Linked DNA regions of Ovis aries. The protein of the gene in region 3 interacts with the protein of the main gene of each other region in a pairwise test. Links are inferred from orthologs where the notes say so. Each region holds a gene or a part of one and is shown on either strand. Other genes may lie near its edges.

Region 1 (5,253 bases), on a different chromosome or scaffold from region 3:
TGTCTTCAATAATAATATTCTTTCTGAGGAAAAGAACAATCATTCTAAACCACAGTTTAGAATGCTGAGTTCAAGGGTTATGAGGAATTATGGAATACTGGCAGTTCTTTGACTATACTGAAGTGAATATTTTCTCCATATGTTTAAAAAGTAAATATAGTTGGAGGTGCACTTCACTTTAAAATTGTGTGTGTGTGTGTGTGTGTGGCACATTAATTTAGTCTTTTAATTTTTGTCATGTAGGAATACCAGATACTCCCTTCAGTAAGGACAGAAATGGTCATGTGAAGCGACCCATGAATGCATTTATGGTTTGGGCAAGAATCCACCGGCCAGCACTAGCCAAAGCTAACCCAGCAGCCAACAATGCAGAAATCAGTGTCCAGCTCGGGTTAGAGTGGAACAAACTTAGTGAAGAACAAAAGAAACCCTATTATGATGAAGCACAAAAGATTAAAGAAAAGCACAGAGAGGAATTTCCTGGTAATCAAATGAAATGAACAAAGCCTCTTTCTAATTTCTTTTAAATTTATTTATTTAGGTAAAGAATAGGTTAGGATGAGATTGAAAGACAAAGTGTAATTTTTTTCTGGTCTGATATGTACAATAGAGAAAATTATGGTTAATACTATAGTAACGATTGAATTGACACTGGACGTAAGTTTTCTTAAACAGAGCAAAGTAGAACGATATCTGGTCTCATATTTGCCAACCAATGCAAACCTGATCTGGTCTTATATTTGCCTACTAATGCAAACCTGGGGATATACAGTTTTACAGTGGTTTTGATTTAATATAAAAATATAAATTTAATGAAGGTGAAGCTCCAGAGTTCTATGCTATGATATTTCAAATATATTAGAAAATGAAGTGTTCAGCTCATAGCAACAGAAAAATATGCAGTGCACACTGCAGGCATTAGCACCAAGCTCCATTTTAATGTTATATGGTTATCAGAATTTAGTCCTGCCTCCTGCCTGATAAGTTTATCCTCATCATGATATAGTTTGAAATAAATTCTGACTTTCTCCCCAGCAGTGAGGACATTGTTATTAAGCTTGGTAAAAGCTTAATATATGTTGATATGACCAACACATTGTGCATGGAAAGAATTTTTTTCCTAAAGTAATAGAGAGATTCAGGCTGGCAATGGTCAGAGTAGTGGTTACAGGGAACCAGTGATTCTCTTGGTTGTACAGTGGCAACAACTGCCATAACTCCATTTTTCTGAGTTTAGAAGGAAATTGGGTGGTTTGTGGATGTGGAGACTGCCAAGTCTAAAAGGGCGACTTTTCCCAAAGAAGACATAAAAATAGTGACTGGTCATTAATAACCACTTCATTGTAAGACATAGATAATTGTATCTTACAGAAATTAAAAAAAAAAACGGGAGGAGACAAATAGCATCTTACTGGGGCATTTTTTTTTAATAGGTAGAGGAAAAACTTTGGAATTCAGACTCAGTGCCTTTAATGTTGATTTTACTGTAAATTCATCATGTGTCTTTGGAGAAAAGACATTTGCTCTTGGTCTTCCTTTGAATTATTAGTTACAACATTGACCACTAGCTAGGAGCCATATGGATAGATATGCTGAAATGCTCAAAAATAGTATCATAGAAGTGGAAAAGATACTTCAGACAACTAAGACTTAGAAGTATTTTGGACTTTTAATGTGAAAAGAACTATTTAAAGGCTAAATAGGATTTGTAGGTTCAAATTAAAAATGGTTAATCTTCTTCTCTAGGTTGGGTTTATCAACCTCGTCCAGGGAAGCGAAAACGCTTCCCTCTAAGCGTTTCCAATGTATTTTCTGGTACCACACAGAATATCATCTCTACAAATCCAACAACAATTTATCCTTATCGCTCACCTACCTACTCTGTGGTAATTCCCAGCCTACAGAACACCATCACTCATCCAGTTGGTGAGTTGGTTTTATTGTAGATTATAATTTTATAATGGCTTATGTGGTGATTTTGCCTCTCAACTTGAAATTTTGCTTCTGATAGCTTAAGAGTTTAAACGACAATATTAAGAAAAAAATCAAAAGTGAGAAAGTGAAAACATTAAATCAGAGAAGGAAAATTTTCAGTAGACATCAAAGTCCTTGGTTTGCCAGACTAGTAAATATTCCATGTCAGACCTTTTAAACAAATCAGGGTGAGTCCATAGATTATGCAGATAATGCATGAAATGACTTGAGGTAATTCAGTAGGAAATAGGAATGTGTTTTTAGTGTTAGCATGCCTTGCTGATGAGGTATGAGGCATCCTGTCCTGGAATTTAATAATGGTGACTGACCTGTTAAGACCCTTTTTTTTTTTTTTTTTTTGCTGCTCCAGGAAAGCAATGGAAGTAATCTATCTTCTACCAGATATTTGGTTCATTATATTGTCTTTCCCTAAAATTTCTCCTCTATTATCAGTTCTTTACTTCATTCCTATCTTTTGCTTTTAAGAACCCCAAATTGAGAATTTAATATCTTAAGAACTTTTATAGGGCTATCCATCATTAGTTTGTTCTTCCAGAGCCTATTTTAGTCATCTCTGAGGCATAGCTTTGTACATTCCCTGCTTACTATCACTTGTCCTAAAACTGCTGTTCTCTCCAGTTTTAAAATTGACTTATTGCGAACTTAGGCATTTTCATTTTTTCCCCCTGTGTATTATTATAGTCATAAATACCAACAAGGCCACATCAAGGGTATCCAGACTCAAGGCAAAGAAAGCTGATCCTATCACCCTGTTCCTCTCTCAGTACCTTTGCTATTTTGTAGTATCTCTTTTAATTCTATACTCAAACTGGGTTTAATTATGCTTTTTTTTAAAAAAAAACTTACCTTGTGTAATCTGTTATTTATGATTTATGCTTTTATCATCTATATTTCTTCTTTTTACACCTTTTTCTAAAGCTTTTCTTCCATGTCATTCTATCTACAGTTAAATAAATGCTGTATGTTTTCTTTTTTCAGAAATATATTTATCAGTGTTCTTGCTTGAGGCAGCTGACATTTTAATAGAATATATTAACTTTATGCAGTTCTGAGCAAAGGTTTGGGGAAATTGAAAGTGGTAGAGCTCTTACATTCATGATGTTTTATATAAGTATGAAAAACAATTATAGGAAGTTTTTTAGAACCATATATAAAGTAATCAAATCTAGGTATTTTTTGTTGGCTTTTTTATTTTTAAATTTCTCTTATTTCTTCTTAGGTAGTATCAGTAAAGATTTGTTTCTGGGACCTCAAATTATAAAAAGATCATTATCTTTTAAATATGAAATTTTGGAATTGTTTCCCCAGGTATATATATAGTTATATGTATAATAGTTACATATATATAATTGTTATACAATAGTTATGATGAGACTTATTGTCTGTTCTGCTGCCCAATCATACAGCTTTTGAAATATGTTCTTTTAGTTGTACTCATCAGCTTGGTGTATAGTACTTTGAGGAGTTGGTATCAGTTGCAAGTTTGGAAATGTCACTGTATATTTTACATTGTAAATCATTTATAAAACTCTTAAATAAGAAAAAATTATAGTACAAATCCCTCAGAAAATCTGCTTTTAAAGTCTACCTTTAAATGCTCATTATCAACAGATACAAATGTTTATACCATTCCTTTTTTTTTGTTTGATCAACTAATTTTATATTCTAAATATGAAATCATGGTAATTGTGTTCTTTCAAACTTGTTTATTTCCATGGAAGAAAGATACCAAATTAGTGAGGTATAATTTATCTCAACAGAAACAATTTGTTCTTTTTCTAGAAAGGTTTGTATACAAATATATTGTATAGATTTCACTAGTGTAGAAAATCGACTCACCAAACTATGGCTCTAAAGTAAACTTACTACTTCCAAAAACAAGTTCACTACTTCTGATAACCTGGTATTATGTTGACTTTCCAAAAATGCTCTTGATTGACATTTTTGGCAGAGAGACCATTTGTATCTACTTCATCCAATATTTTCTCAGTTCTAACTTTTGAGTTTCTTTAAAGCTCTTAGGTTAATGCCACCTGAGATCTCTTATATTCATTTTATCAATTTGGATTAGAACATTCTGTGAACTTGCCATTATACTGCATTTGATGTAATATTTTTAAACTATCTGCTGTGAAAATGAAGTAGGTTCAGATATCTTCTTAAGGTCGTAGTAGGAAGTGGGTTTTGAGTCTCTCCATTCTTTCAGTTGACTTTTACACTGTAATGATTATCCCATTGATTCCATTGAGTCTCTTCTTTCTGTAAAAGTATTTAAAAAGGCACTTACTGTTGATTTTAAGGTCCTACAGATGTAATTTCTTCAATTTTCTTTTAAACTGTCTAATTTTTACTTGCATCACACTTACACACTCTGGCTTCTCTTTTACAGATTTGGATGAGCTCTTCATTTTAAAGACATCTTTCCTTTTTGTGGGTACTCTTTAATTTGGTCAAGCTTCCCTGGTGGCTCAGATGGTAAAGAGTCTGCCTGCAGTATGAGAGACCTGGATTCAAACCCTGGGTCAGAAAGATCCCCTGGAGAAGGAAATGGCAAACCACTCCAGTATTCTTGCCTGGAAAATCCCATGGACGAGGAGCCTGGCAGGCTACCACCCATGGGGCCACAAAGAGTCAGACGCGACTGAACGACTTCACTTTTACTTTGAGTTGGTCAGTTAGCCACAACAACTTTTTGATTTTTAAGGCACATTGTTTTCCTTTTGGGTTTTTAGCATTATCATATAAAATAACCTTCATTCTTCTGTAAACTTTTTATTTTAGTTATCCCTATCAGCCTTATTTTCCTAGCCCGTATTTGTAATTCCAAAAATCTAATTTTTCTCTCACGTTTAATCCCCCATATTGAGCTTATCTCCTGTTTCCAGTTTCTGAAAGTACTTACAACTTAATAGTCCAGAATAGTTTTTTGGACACTTCCCTTTATCAAATGTCTTTGATGCCAGTTATGCCAGCATTTTAATTTTATATTAAATTCAGTTTGGTTCAGTCGCTCAGTTGTGTCCCGCTCTTTGTGACTCCATGGACTGCAGCATGCCAGTCTTCCCTGCCTATCACCAACTCCCGGAGCTTGCTCAAACTCATGTCCATCGAGTCAGTGATGCCATCCAGCCATCTCATCCTCTGTTGTCCCCTTCTCCTCCTGCCTTCAATGTTTCCCAGCATCAGCATCTTTTGAAATGAGTCAGCTCTTCGCATCAGGTGGCCAAAGTATTGGAGCTTCAGCTTCAGCATCAGTCC
Region 2 (5,253 bases), on a different chromosome or scaffold from region 3:
GTCCTTTAGTGCTTTGGGTCCTGAGCACCACCAAACAGGGAGCGATGGACAGAAATCAAGACTCGGCCCACTCGGCAAGATGGAGCACTGGGAGAGGACCCAGGGGTCCCGATTCCCAGAACCAAGCTCTTAGGACTATTGCCTGTTCAGTTCAGTTTAGTTCAGTTGCTCAGTCATGTCCAACTCTTTGCGACCCCATGAATCGCAGCACGCCAGGCCTCCCTGTCCACCACCAACTCCTGGAGTTCACTCAAACTCACATCCATCAAGTCGGTGATGCCATCCAGCCATCTCATCCTCGGTCGTCCCCTTTTCTACCTGCCCCCAATCCCTCCCAGCATCAGGGTCTTTTCCAGTGAGTCAGCTCTTCGCATGAGATGGCCAAAGTACTGGAGTTTCAGCTTTAGCATCATTCCTTCCAAAGAACACCCAGGACTGATCTCCTTCAGAATGGACTGGCTGGATCTCCTTGCAGTCCAAGGGACTCTCAAGAGACTTCTCCAACACCACAGTTCAAAAGCATCAATTCTTCGGTGCTCAGCTTTCTTCACAGTCCAACTCTCACATCCATACATGACCAATGGAAAACCATAGCCTTGACTTAGACGTAACTTGGTTGACAAAGTAATGTCTCTGCTTTTTAATATACTGTCTAAGCTGGTCATAACTTTTCTTCCAAGGAGTAAGCGTCTTTTAATTTCATGGCTGCAGTCACCATCTGCAGTGATTCTGGAGCCCAAAAAAATAAAGTCTGACACTGTTTCCACTGTTTCCCCATCTATTTGCCATGAAGTGATGGGACCAGATACCATGATCTTAGTTTTCTGAATGTTGAGCTTTAAGCCAACTTTTTCACTCTCCTCTTTCACTTTCATCAAGAGACTTTTTAGTTCCTCTTCACTTTCTGCCATAAGGGTGGTGTCATCTGCATATCTGAGGTTCTTGATATTTCTCCTGGCAATCTTGATTCCGGTTTGTGCTTCATCCAGCCCATTGCCTGTTGGTATAGTATAAAAACCCTGTGGGTCCACATATGGCCCAGTTTCTCTCGTGGAGAGCAATAGGCTTCTCACCTTGGCAAACGTGTTTTCTCTAGCCCCTTTTCCTGGGGTCTGTGCCCCTCTGCAGAGCCACTCTCAGGGAGCGGCCCTAAAGCCATCTCTCTTTCTAACCTGTTTGCAGGGCTCTGGAGCTCACCAGTGGCAAAGACGAGATCTCCTTGTTGGTGGAGCAGGAGTTCTTGAGCCTCACCAAAGAGCACCTCATCCTGGTCACCAAGAGCTCGGGGGAGCTGGAGGCACCCAGAAGCAATGCTGAGGGGCCCAGACAGCCAGCCCCCTGCCTTCTCATGCCTTCACTGGTGTCCAGCAGCAGTGAGCACCCAGGAGCCTCCGTCATGGCTGGTGACAAGCTCCTGGAGCCAAAGGTGGCCGTGTCAGTCGTTGGCAGCCGGCCAGACTGTGATTCTGCCACGTCTACGGTCACGGGCATCCTGCGTGCTGCCAAGGTCAAGAGTGCCAAGGGGACAGAGGACAGGAGCCGCAGCCTGGGGGCCTCCAGCTCGGAGATCAGCAAGCTCCTGGCTCAATTCCCACTGAAGTCCACAGAAATGTCCAAGGCCCCCGACAGCAAGATGGTGTTGGAGGAGACCAGGGTCATCAAGGACTTCCTGCAGAGCAGCATGTTCAGTGGCCCTGGACCCAGAGAGCCCGCGGGGCTGGGCCCGTTCCTTCTGCTGCCTCCCCCGCCTCCGCCTGTGACTCCCAACAAACTCCCCGAGCTCCCTGCTCAGAAGAAGCAGCTTCCAGTGTTCGCCAAGATCTGCTCCAAGCCCGAGGCTGACCCCATCATGGAGGGGTACCAACTGATGGGTGAGTGGGGCTGGGAGCAGGGCTAGGAGGCATGCTTGCTAGGAGGAGAAACTTAGCACGTGGGCTGCATCAGGCACACGGAGCATCGCTGTGCAAAGTAGGGCAAGGTAGCCTTGCTGATGAGCATGGTCCCGGGGTGCAGGCTGTTTTCAGCCCCCACAGCCCTCCTCTGCCAGATGCTCATATACAGGGCACGTCTCATGTAACCAGACATGGTGGCCCTGAATCCAATACACTTTGGGAAGAGGGAGAGGCCTGTTTTGTAACCGACTGGGTTTTTAAATCCATAGGCACCTGAGGACATTGAACGAAGCATTTACCCTTGCTGGATCCAGGGTGAAAGTGCAGCCAGGGGACTCTGAGCTGAATAGGAGGGAATTTAACTGGCTTCTGATGGAGGCTCCTGTCCTGACCATGATGCCTGGTCCCCTCTCCTGGGGATAGGGGGTGAATGTGTAAACTCTCCGGGTGCAGGCAGACTGCTGGCCCTGGGGTTTGTTCCCAGGGACTCCAGGGCTTTGGCAAAGTGCATTCCCACTCCTAAATCGAGGAGTCCGCACCCTCCCCGGATTGCCTCCCCAAATTCCAGGATTCTGCATTTTGTGTCTGTTCTGATCCAGCTACTCAGGCTGGATGGTTCCAAGAAGGAAGATTGGCGGCAGTGACACTTGCTTGCCATCAGCAGTCACTGGGAGGAAGCTGGAAGAAAAACTCCCCCCAGGCTGTGAGAGATGGGTAAAGGAGAGATGCCTGTATTGGGAGGGCCCAGATCCATCTTCCTAAGAAAACAGGGACACAGTCACCCTAGAGAACATTCTGTAGGAGCATTTTAAGAACCCAAGGACTCCAAACTGTGGATGGCATGCTGGACTCTGGGTCCTGGGCAGGCCTCCAGGGGTCCAGGGGCTCTGGGGACGATAAGCTGTGTATGTGAGATGATGGGGCATACCCGGGGGAGGAGACATGCCTCCCACCTCCTTCTCTCCTCTGTCAGACAGGGCTGCTGGTTTGGAGACAGTTCTGTCCCACACACCTTCCCACCATTTGCATGTGTGTGTACAGGTGTGTGCGTGAAGGTGTGCTGAGAGGAACTTTGCAGATGGAAATGCAGTCTGGGCACATCTGAGTGTAACCCTTCTGTGTGTGTAGCTGTGTATGTGTGTGAGCACGCGAAAGGAATGGCAGGAAGGGATGTGTGTGTGTGTGTGTGTGTCTGTGTATATAGCCTTTGGAAGAGGGAGCTTTGGAGATGAGTGAGTGGCAAGTGTGTTTCAGGTGGCTGGGGTGGGCTGTGATGGCAGGTGTGTGGGCCTCTGGGGAGAGGGCTATTATTAGTGGGTACTGTTATCTCAGCACTGGCTGGGGGCCACACTCTGCAACGAGACAAGCTCTAGGAAAAGACACCAGGGACATGTTTTGCTAAAAACTGTCATTTTCTTCTGGCTCAGGCTAGAGCAGCTTTCTCCTTTGCTGGGATGGCAGTAAGCGGGCAGGCCCCATCCTGTCCAGACTCAGCCCCAAGGCCATGGGCTAGTGGGACTAAGAGTTGGTGGGATCGTGTCCACTCCCAACAGGTGATTATGGGCACAAGCCCTCTGATCCTATTGCTACCAGCATGATCCACTGTGCCCGCCATGTGTCCAGTGCCATTTCACAGCCAAGCTCCATGGAGACCAGGACCTCCAAGCTGGGAGAAGCATGAAGGTGCTGAGAGCAAGGCCCTCTTCTCTGCTTCAGCCAAGCAGTGCCTTAAAAAAAAAAAAAAAAATATATATATATATATATATATATATATGTATATATATATATGTATATATATTATACGCTTCTCTGGTGGCTCAGCAGTAAAGAATTGGCCCGCAATACAGGAGACCCAGATTATTTGGGTTCAGTCCCTGGATCAGGAAGATCCCCTGAAGGAGGGCATGGCAACCCACTCCAGTATTCTTGCTGGGAAAATCCTATGGACAGAGGAGCCTGGCAGGCTACAGTCCATAGGGTCACAAAGAGTCGGACGTAACTGAGCATACACGAACCATGTATTTACGCTTGCAGTATGGTGCATCCCCCTGCCATACTTTGTTGGAAGAAAGAGTTTTGTTGGAAGAAAGAGTTCCATCGCTCAAAAGGAAAATCGGGTGAAAAGCCACTGTTGTAGGGGGATCCTTGGTGGTCTAGGCAGTGTCCTTGCACAAGGGAGACTTGGTCTGTTTGGAGAGAGAGAGCTGAGCCTGGCACCGGCAGCAGCCAGTGGCTCACTCGTGCCTCTGTGCCTTTGCCTGCGGTCACCCATGGCTCTGGGTGCAGGGCCTCGCTGCAGACCTCCTCCTCCTGGAATCCCTCCGGTCCTCAGACAGAAGCTGTCTCAGCCGCCCTCTTCCCCCGCTGTGTCCCTCCATCACCTCACGGTCCCCATCTGCCTTGTCCCGGAGCTATTTCTGGGTCTGTCTCTCTCTTCCTCCGTGTTGTGAGTTCCTGCTGGGCCAAGTCTGGCTCTGACTCATCCAAGTGTCCCCAGGACTCAGGTCAGAGCCTGGCGCTGATGAGTGTGCTGAATCGCCACGACGACTTAGCAAGAGGAGAGTCTCTGACAAGGGACCAGCTGCGTGTTGTGTGGGAATGTGTCTGCGCCAACCACCCCCCCCCCCCACCGCCACTAAGCCAAGTGTGCTCCCTGAAGACAGGAACTATCCGGAACCTTTGTGATCCAACCTACAAATGGTTAGAGGGAAGGAAGGGAGGCAAAAAGAGGGAGAAAGGAAGAAGCGGCAGGGAGGAAAAGAGGAAGGAAGAAAAGAAAGAAAAGAAGGTAAGGAAAGAGAGGGAACTAAAAGGGAGGAAGTTTTTTAAGGAGGAGAGAATGGGATTAGGGAAGGGAGGATGGATGAGTGGATGGAAGGAAGGAAAGATGGATGGGTGGGTAAAAGGATGGATGGATGGGTGGACAGACGGAAGAAGACAAGAATGGATGAATGCATTCATGCATGCAAGGGTGTGAGACCGTCATGGGCGCTGGTCAGGGAAGGCTTCAGGGACTGGACTTGGACTGAACTTGGTTGAGAGAGAGCCCAGAGTGGTGGGAGTCTCAGGTGTGCTGCGGAGGATCCATGACTTTGTCCACAAGACCATGCTCCCCCCATCCAGCATGTGGTCTTCCAGAGTCACTGACTCAGCTTCTCTCCTGCTCTAGAACGGAACCCAGGTGCCAAGGAGCTGACCAGGGGCCGAGAGAGCCTCTTTCTCAGCCAGTGGTCCCCGAGCCGGAAGGACACCTGTGGTGAGGAGGGTGGCAGTGACCCCATGGCTCTGCCGGCCAAGAAGCCTGCCTGGCAGGCTGAGAAGAACCTGCTCTATGAGGTCCTTGGGGCCACCAAGAACCCAA
Region 3 (5,920 bases):
GGGAGTGAATGGGTGAAAGACAGGAAGAAACTCACCTTTTAAAAAGCTATCTAGTAACATTATCTGCATATACAAAGTAGGTAAATAGATCTCAGAATTCATCATGGGGGGACTCCCAAGGAATTTCTGATATGCTATTTCTCACTCTCTAGTGTTGAGAATCACTGTCACAGAGGCTATAATGTAAAGGGTTTTATGCTTTAGATCCCGTTTTATTCATTAGGACTATGTATATAAAATTTACCTCGTTTGAGGGGAAAATACACTTAAGAAAGAACCACTAGCCTCCACTCTTTTTTAGAGGTTTGGTTTTGATTGTAACAGAATTTGCTGACTTAATTTTTCTCATTTTGTGTTCTTGTAATTTCATTTCTCTTGTAACACTTGAAAGAACAGGACCCCATGCTTGGGGAGCTGCAGTGTTTCAAGTCACCCCCTAGCCCCACCCCCACCTAGGTTGTGAAAATCTGACCCTAAGCTTTGCTGTTTCCCCGAGGGCTGAGGCATGTGATGGAGAAAAAGATGGGAAACCAATAAGTAATGCTTTTGCTCATCCTTCATCTCACCTTTAAAGGTAATTGATAACCACAAAGAAAGGCCAATTTTTAGGGGTAAGTCTAATGAACTTGGGCTTCCCAGGTGGTGCTAGTGGTAAAGAACCTTCCTGCCATTGCAGGAGATGTAAGAGACATGGGTTTGATCCCTGGGTTGGGAGGATCACCTGGAGAAGGGTATAGCAATCCACTCCAGTATTCTTGCCTGGAGAATCCCATTGACAGAGGAGCCTAACAGGCTACAGTCCATAGGGTCATACAGAGTCAGACACAGCTGAAGCAACTTAGCATGCATGCACACTAATGAACTTAAGAAGCTTGCTGTTTTTGTGTCAGGAAACTCAAATTTTGCTTTTTTTCTGGCTCTTCATATCTGTGCCCATGTAACTAACTCTAAAGAGGAATCTCTCTAAGGAAGATGATTAAGAAATGATCTTGTGAATCTTGACTGAAAGGATGTGGGAAAGCAGACTAAAAATAGTTAATGCTTTTTCTAAGGGAACCTTCAGTAAGAATGACTTGCATTGTCTTCCTTGGGCAATGGTTTCTTTTTCATCATTACTCTGAAAATTCAGCTACCCACTCCATCATCAAGCATTTCTGTGGAGAAGGAAGGTTAAACTGGAAAAGTAAATTGTCAGCTAATTCTTAGACTATGGCTTCCTCCATTTCAAAACTGGTAAACCATACATATTACATAGACTAACATGATGGTTTGTGTTTAAAAAAAAAAAAAGCCAACTGTTGCATAGTGCATGGATAATAATAGAGAACATGAGTGAGATAGGTGAAAAGCACGAGATCTGAATTTTTATTTTAACTTTGAGGATTTCTGGAAACCAGGATGCAGCTCTATTTTAATGATCTATATAGCCCAAAAGCATAACCCAAAGTGGAGAATTCTCCATTATTGTGCCTTTTCTTTTTTTATTATGAGATATATACAGAAAAGGTTAATGTAACATATGCACCATTGAATAGTTATAAAGTGAACATCCATATAAATACTATTCAGATGCATTAGAGATTCTTAATCATGAGTCTACTGATACTTGCAGAGAATTTGCCCATATCTCCTTTTTTCTTTTTTTTTTAACACTGCATAAGTTTCCACGCTGCTAAGTTAATACGGTTGTTTAAGAAATCTAGTTTTTTACATCCTTTAGCTCACTGAGGTGTAGTGAACCTGTCTTCTCTCTGGGCTTTGGGTCTCTCTATATCTCGTCTTTTTTTTTTTTTTTTTTTTAAGTTATCCTCGCCCATCCCTTCCAGTAAAGGCTCTTTTGGACCCAGCCACGCCTCCCCACCTTGGCTCTACCCACGCCCAGGTCCCGCCCCTTTCGGGCCCTAGAGTTTGGTCTCCATGGTTACGCCGAGAGTTCTGGGCTGCCGTGAAAGCCCCAGGGAAGAATTGGGTAGACCCGGCTCAGGCTCTTCACTACAGCCAAGGTCAGCCCAGCCTGGGCTCCACGCCCTTGATCCGGAGTGTACCTCGCGAGGAGGCGAGCATGGGTCAGCGGACGGAGCCTGGGCCGCGGGAGCATGTCGTCTAAACTGGTTCAGGCGAAACTGACAGTAAGGACTCTTCAGGCCCCGCCGCTGAGCGTAAAGAGCTGTCGCTTCCGGTCGGAGGCTCACAGGTCCCCAGGTCAGATCGCTAACGCGTGCTGCTCACCGCTGTTCGGCACTGCTCGCTGCCCCGCCGGCCAGAACTCGGGAGGTTTAGGCTGAAGCGGTGGGTGTGGGGAGGGTCGGGGGGCGGGGACTGAGGAGAACCCGGAGAGACCTGTACCGGGTGCCCGACGGCGCACGCGCACACGCGCGGCTTATATTCATTGAGCAGGCGTTTGTTAGTTACCAGCTGCTGGTTTGATGCTCTTACTTTCTGCCAACGCTATGTTAACCACTAAGTATATAGACTGGGAAAGGAGTACGTCAAGGCTGTATATTGTCACCCTGCTTATTTAACGTATATGCGGAGTACATCTTGCGAAATGCCCGTCTGGATAAAGCACAAGCTGGAATCAGGATTGCTGGGAGAAATATCAATAACCACAGATACACAAATGACACCACCCTAATGGCGGAAAGTGAAGAGGAACTAAAGAGCCTCTTGATGAAAGTGAGAGAGGAGAGTGAAAAAGTTAGTTTAAAACTCAACATTCAGAAAACTAAGATCTTGGCATCTGGTCCCCTCACTTCATGGCAGATAGATGGGGAAACAATGGAAACAGTGACAGGCTTTATATTCTTGGGCTCCAAAATCACTGCAGATGGTGACTGTAGCCATGAAATTAAAAGATGCTTGCTCCTTGGGAGAAAAGCAATGACCAATCTAGACAGCATATTGAAAAGCAGAGACATTACTTTGCCAGCAAAGGTCTGTCTAGTCAAAGCTATGGTTTTTCCAGTAGTCATGTATGGATGTGAGAGTTGGACTATAAAGAAAGCTAAGCGCCGATGAATTGATGCTTTTGAAATGTGGTGTTGGCGAAGGTTCTTGAGAGTTCCTTGGACTGAAAGGAAATCAAACCAGTCAATCCTAAGGGAAATCAACCCTGAATATCCATTGGAAGGACTGATGTTGAAGCTGAAACTCCAATACTTTGGCCACCTGATGAAAAGACCCTGATGCTGGGAAAGATTAAACGCGGGAGGAAAAGGGGAGGACAGAGGATGAGATGGTTGGATGGCATCACCGACTCAATGGGCATGAGTTTGAGTAAACTCCAGGAGTTAGTGATGGACAGGGAGGCCTGGCGTGCTGCAGTCCATGGGGCCGCAAAGAATCGGACACAACTGAGTGACTGAACTGAACTGAATTGATATAGAACTCAGTCCTCAGGACAGCTCCAGAGACAGAGTAGTAGTCGGGTTTATACTTTTCAGATGAGAAAATCACTTCAAAGAGAAGTTAGAGAAATGGCCAAGGTTTCAGCTAGAAAACGGGGCACGATGGAAACCAGGCTCTCTGGTTCTCCTGGACTAGATGCCAGGTGTTGTTAACCTTACCTGAACCCTAATATGCTGAAAGTGATCTTTACCTACCTGGGATTGCCTTTGTTATTCTCTGCATGCTAATTTCCCCTGTGCTTAGATCGGAAAACCTGATCACTATTAAAACCTACCACCTTTTCACCAGGAGTTCTTTTTTTTCCCCCATGATCCATGACTCGTTATATGTTTTGCTTTTTTTTTTGCTTTTATGCTTTTAATCAAGAGTATAAACCTTCACTTGGATGTGCAAGAAATAGAATTTTGATGATTCGAGCAAGAATTGTGTTCCAAGAGTCTCTGATAATTATGAAAGGTCATTTAGTGAATGTGATGAAATAAGCATGTTCTGTTTCAAGCTGACTTTGCCACCTACATAGTGGAATTTCTCACTAATTCTACTCCTACACCCATCCTCCATCTCTAATACTGTTTAACATTTTTTTAAATTAAAAAATATCATGTTATAGGGGTACTTTTGATGACCACCATCATTTAAATAAAGAGGAAATGTTTCAGTCATTAAGTCCCAATTACTCTCACTGTTATCATTAGTCCTTCATTTTTATAAATATGAAACCAACTAATGAAAAACAAGAGGGGCCTTATATACTAGTAAATATTATTAAGTTAATAAATAATATGACTCTTTACAAATATATTAGTGGTGAAATCTCAAAAGGAAAAACTAATATATAAATACAATTTAAAAAATCTTTTTATTTAGAATGCCTCCCACTCAGGCTGAAAGTGTTATAAAGAATATCATTAGAGAAATAGGACAAGAATGTGCAGCCCATGGAGAGATTGTTCCTGAAACTCTGGTTGCTTTTATGGTAAGAATAAATATTTTTGTGAATTACTGCTTTATTAAAAATTTTTTTTCAGCAGTGCCTATCTTGCTCTTAGAATTCTGTGATGTTCTCTTAACTTGTTGCATTGAAAACCTATGGCGATTGGTAGACAAATTGTGTCTGTGTGTGCTCAGTCGTGTCCAGCTCTTTGCAACTGCATGGACTGTAGCCTGCGAAGCTCCTCTGTCCATGGGATTTTTCCAGGCAAAAATACTGTTTGTTTGTTTTTTAAGTCTATAAAGCATGTTAGTTCTAGATTTAAGAGACTGATCTAGAAGATCTCAAAGAATCTTAGAAACATCAATAATGTTTTTCCTGTGTTGTAAGTTTTTTTCTTTTTAACATGTGTTGTTCACTGCTGTAAAAATTACTCATTTCCTTGATATCTCTCTGTTCTTGCTTTTGGTATAATAATACACAATAAAAATATGGTAAAAATATTCAAATTCGTTTCCCAAGGTAAAATTGCTCCCTTTCTCCAGTTTCTGATGAAGATGCTGAGGAACTGGGTGGTAAGAAACTCAGCTGAATGATCCACCCCTGGGTAATCAAGACAGAGTTATTTAAAAAATGGAAAAATATTAAACTAATGTTGTAGTAATATGAAATAAATGTAATGGACTTTTTCCTACTCTCAGGTGAAAGCTGTTGTTCTGGACCCGAGTAATGGCTTTAACACGGATAGGACACTCACAAAAAGTGATGTGCAGAAACTGGTGAAGGTGATTATCTAACATTTCTCAAATTTTGAATGATTTACTCACAATTCTAAATATTTGATTTGTCTTGCTCAATAGTGCCTTCAGCTCCATGAAACAAAACCCCACCAAACAGTGATGCAAACAAATGAGAGATTAAATTTTTTCTCGTAGAATGAAGTCTAGAGGTTCATAGGTTGTTTTTCCTGGCTTCCTAGGTCACTATCATGCATGTATTTTCACCCCAGGGTCACAAGAAAGCTCTTCTACCTTTGGGCAGGTATAAGGTGAGAGGACAAAGGTCAACATGTGTGTGCAATTGGATCTGTCACTTTGTTTTTTGGAAATAATGGGCTTTCCCAGAATCCCTCCCATCTCTTTCCATTTGTGGCCTGCCTGCATGCTCAGTCGTGTCTGACTCTTTGCCAGCCCATGCACTGTGGCCTACCAGGCTCCTCTGTCTGTGGAATTTTCCAGGCAAGAATACTGGAGTGGGCTGTCATTTCCTTCTCTAGGGGACCTTCCCAACCCAGGGACTGAACCGTATCTCCTGTGTCTCCTGCATTGGCAGGTGGATTCTTTATCACTGTGCCTCCTGGGAAGCCCTTGCATTTATTGAATGGAATAATATTTCAAGTGAGCCTAGGATATTGATTGTTTTCCTCTTTCCTTTTTTAGCTGAAAGAAAATCTCTGCCTTAATCCAGATTGAGGCTTTGTTAGTAAGGAAGGAGGGGCATGGATGCTGGCAGTTAGCAGTGTCTGCCACAGTATTTTAGAGACATCTTATTCATCTAATGAGACATTGAGAAAATTAACTG

Evidence for each region. The genes of interacting proteins can lie anywhere in the genome.
Region 1: the proteins of CFAP206 (region 3) and SOX30 interact in binary tests that used the Homo sapiens proteins (3 or more experiments, as listed by UniProt). The two-hybrid records come from large-scale screens. The link is inferred for Ovis aries from reciprocal best matches to the Homo sapiens genes CFAP206 and SOX30.
Region 2: the proteins of CFAP206 (region 3) and C1H1orf94 interact in binary tests that used the Homo sapiens proteins (3 or more experiments, as listed by UniProt). The two-hybrid records come from large-scale screens. The link is inferred for Ovis aries from reciprocal best matches to the Homo sapiens genes CFAP206 and C1orf94.

What each region holds. Positions count from the first base shown.
Region 1 is NC_056058.1:66,883,791-66,889,043, reverse strand, and holds part of SOX30 (transcription factor SOX-30), read left to right. Parts: intron 1-243; coding exon 244-483; intron 484-1,746; coding exon 1,747-1,926; intron 1,927-5,253. UniProt on the Homo sapiens protein: Acts both as a transcriptional activator and a repressor. Binds to the DNA sequence 5'-ACAAT-3' and shows a preference for guanine residues surrounding this core motif. Binds to its own promoter and activates its own transcription.
Region 2 is NC_056054.1:9,137,618-9,142,870, forward strand, and holds part of C1H1orf94 (uncharacterized protein C1orf94 homolog), read left to right. Parts: intron 1-1,182; coding exon 1,183-1,871; intron 1,872-5,061; coding exon 5,062-5,253.
Region 3 is NC_056061.1:49,877,092-49,883,011, reverse strand, and holds the start of CFAP206 (cilia- and flagella-associated protein 206), read left to right. Parts: upstream 1-1,928; 5' UTR 1,929-2,289; intron 2,290-4,273; exon of another isoform or gene 4,274-4,275; 5' UTR 4,276-4,276; coding exon 4,277-4,384; intron 4,385-4,861; exon of another isoform or gene 4,862-4,890; coding exon of another isoform or gene 4,891-4,914; exon of another isoform or gene 4,915-4,931; coding exon of another isoform or gene 4,932-4,946; intron 4,947-5,040; coding exon 5,041-5,124; intron 5,125-5,920. UniProt on the Homo sapiens protein: Essential for sperm motility and is involved in the regulation of the beating frequency of motile cilia on the epithelial cells of the respiratory tract. Required for the establishment of radial spokes in sperm flagella.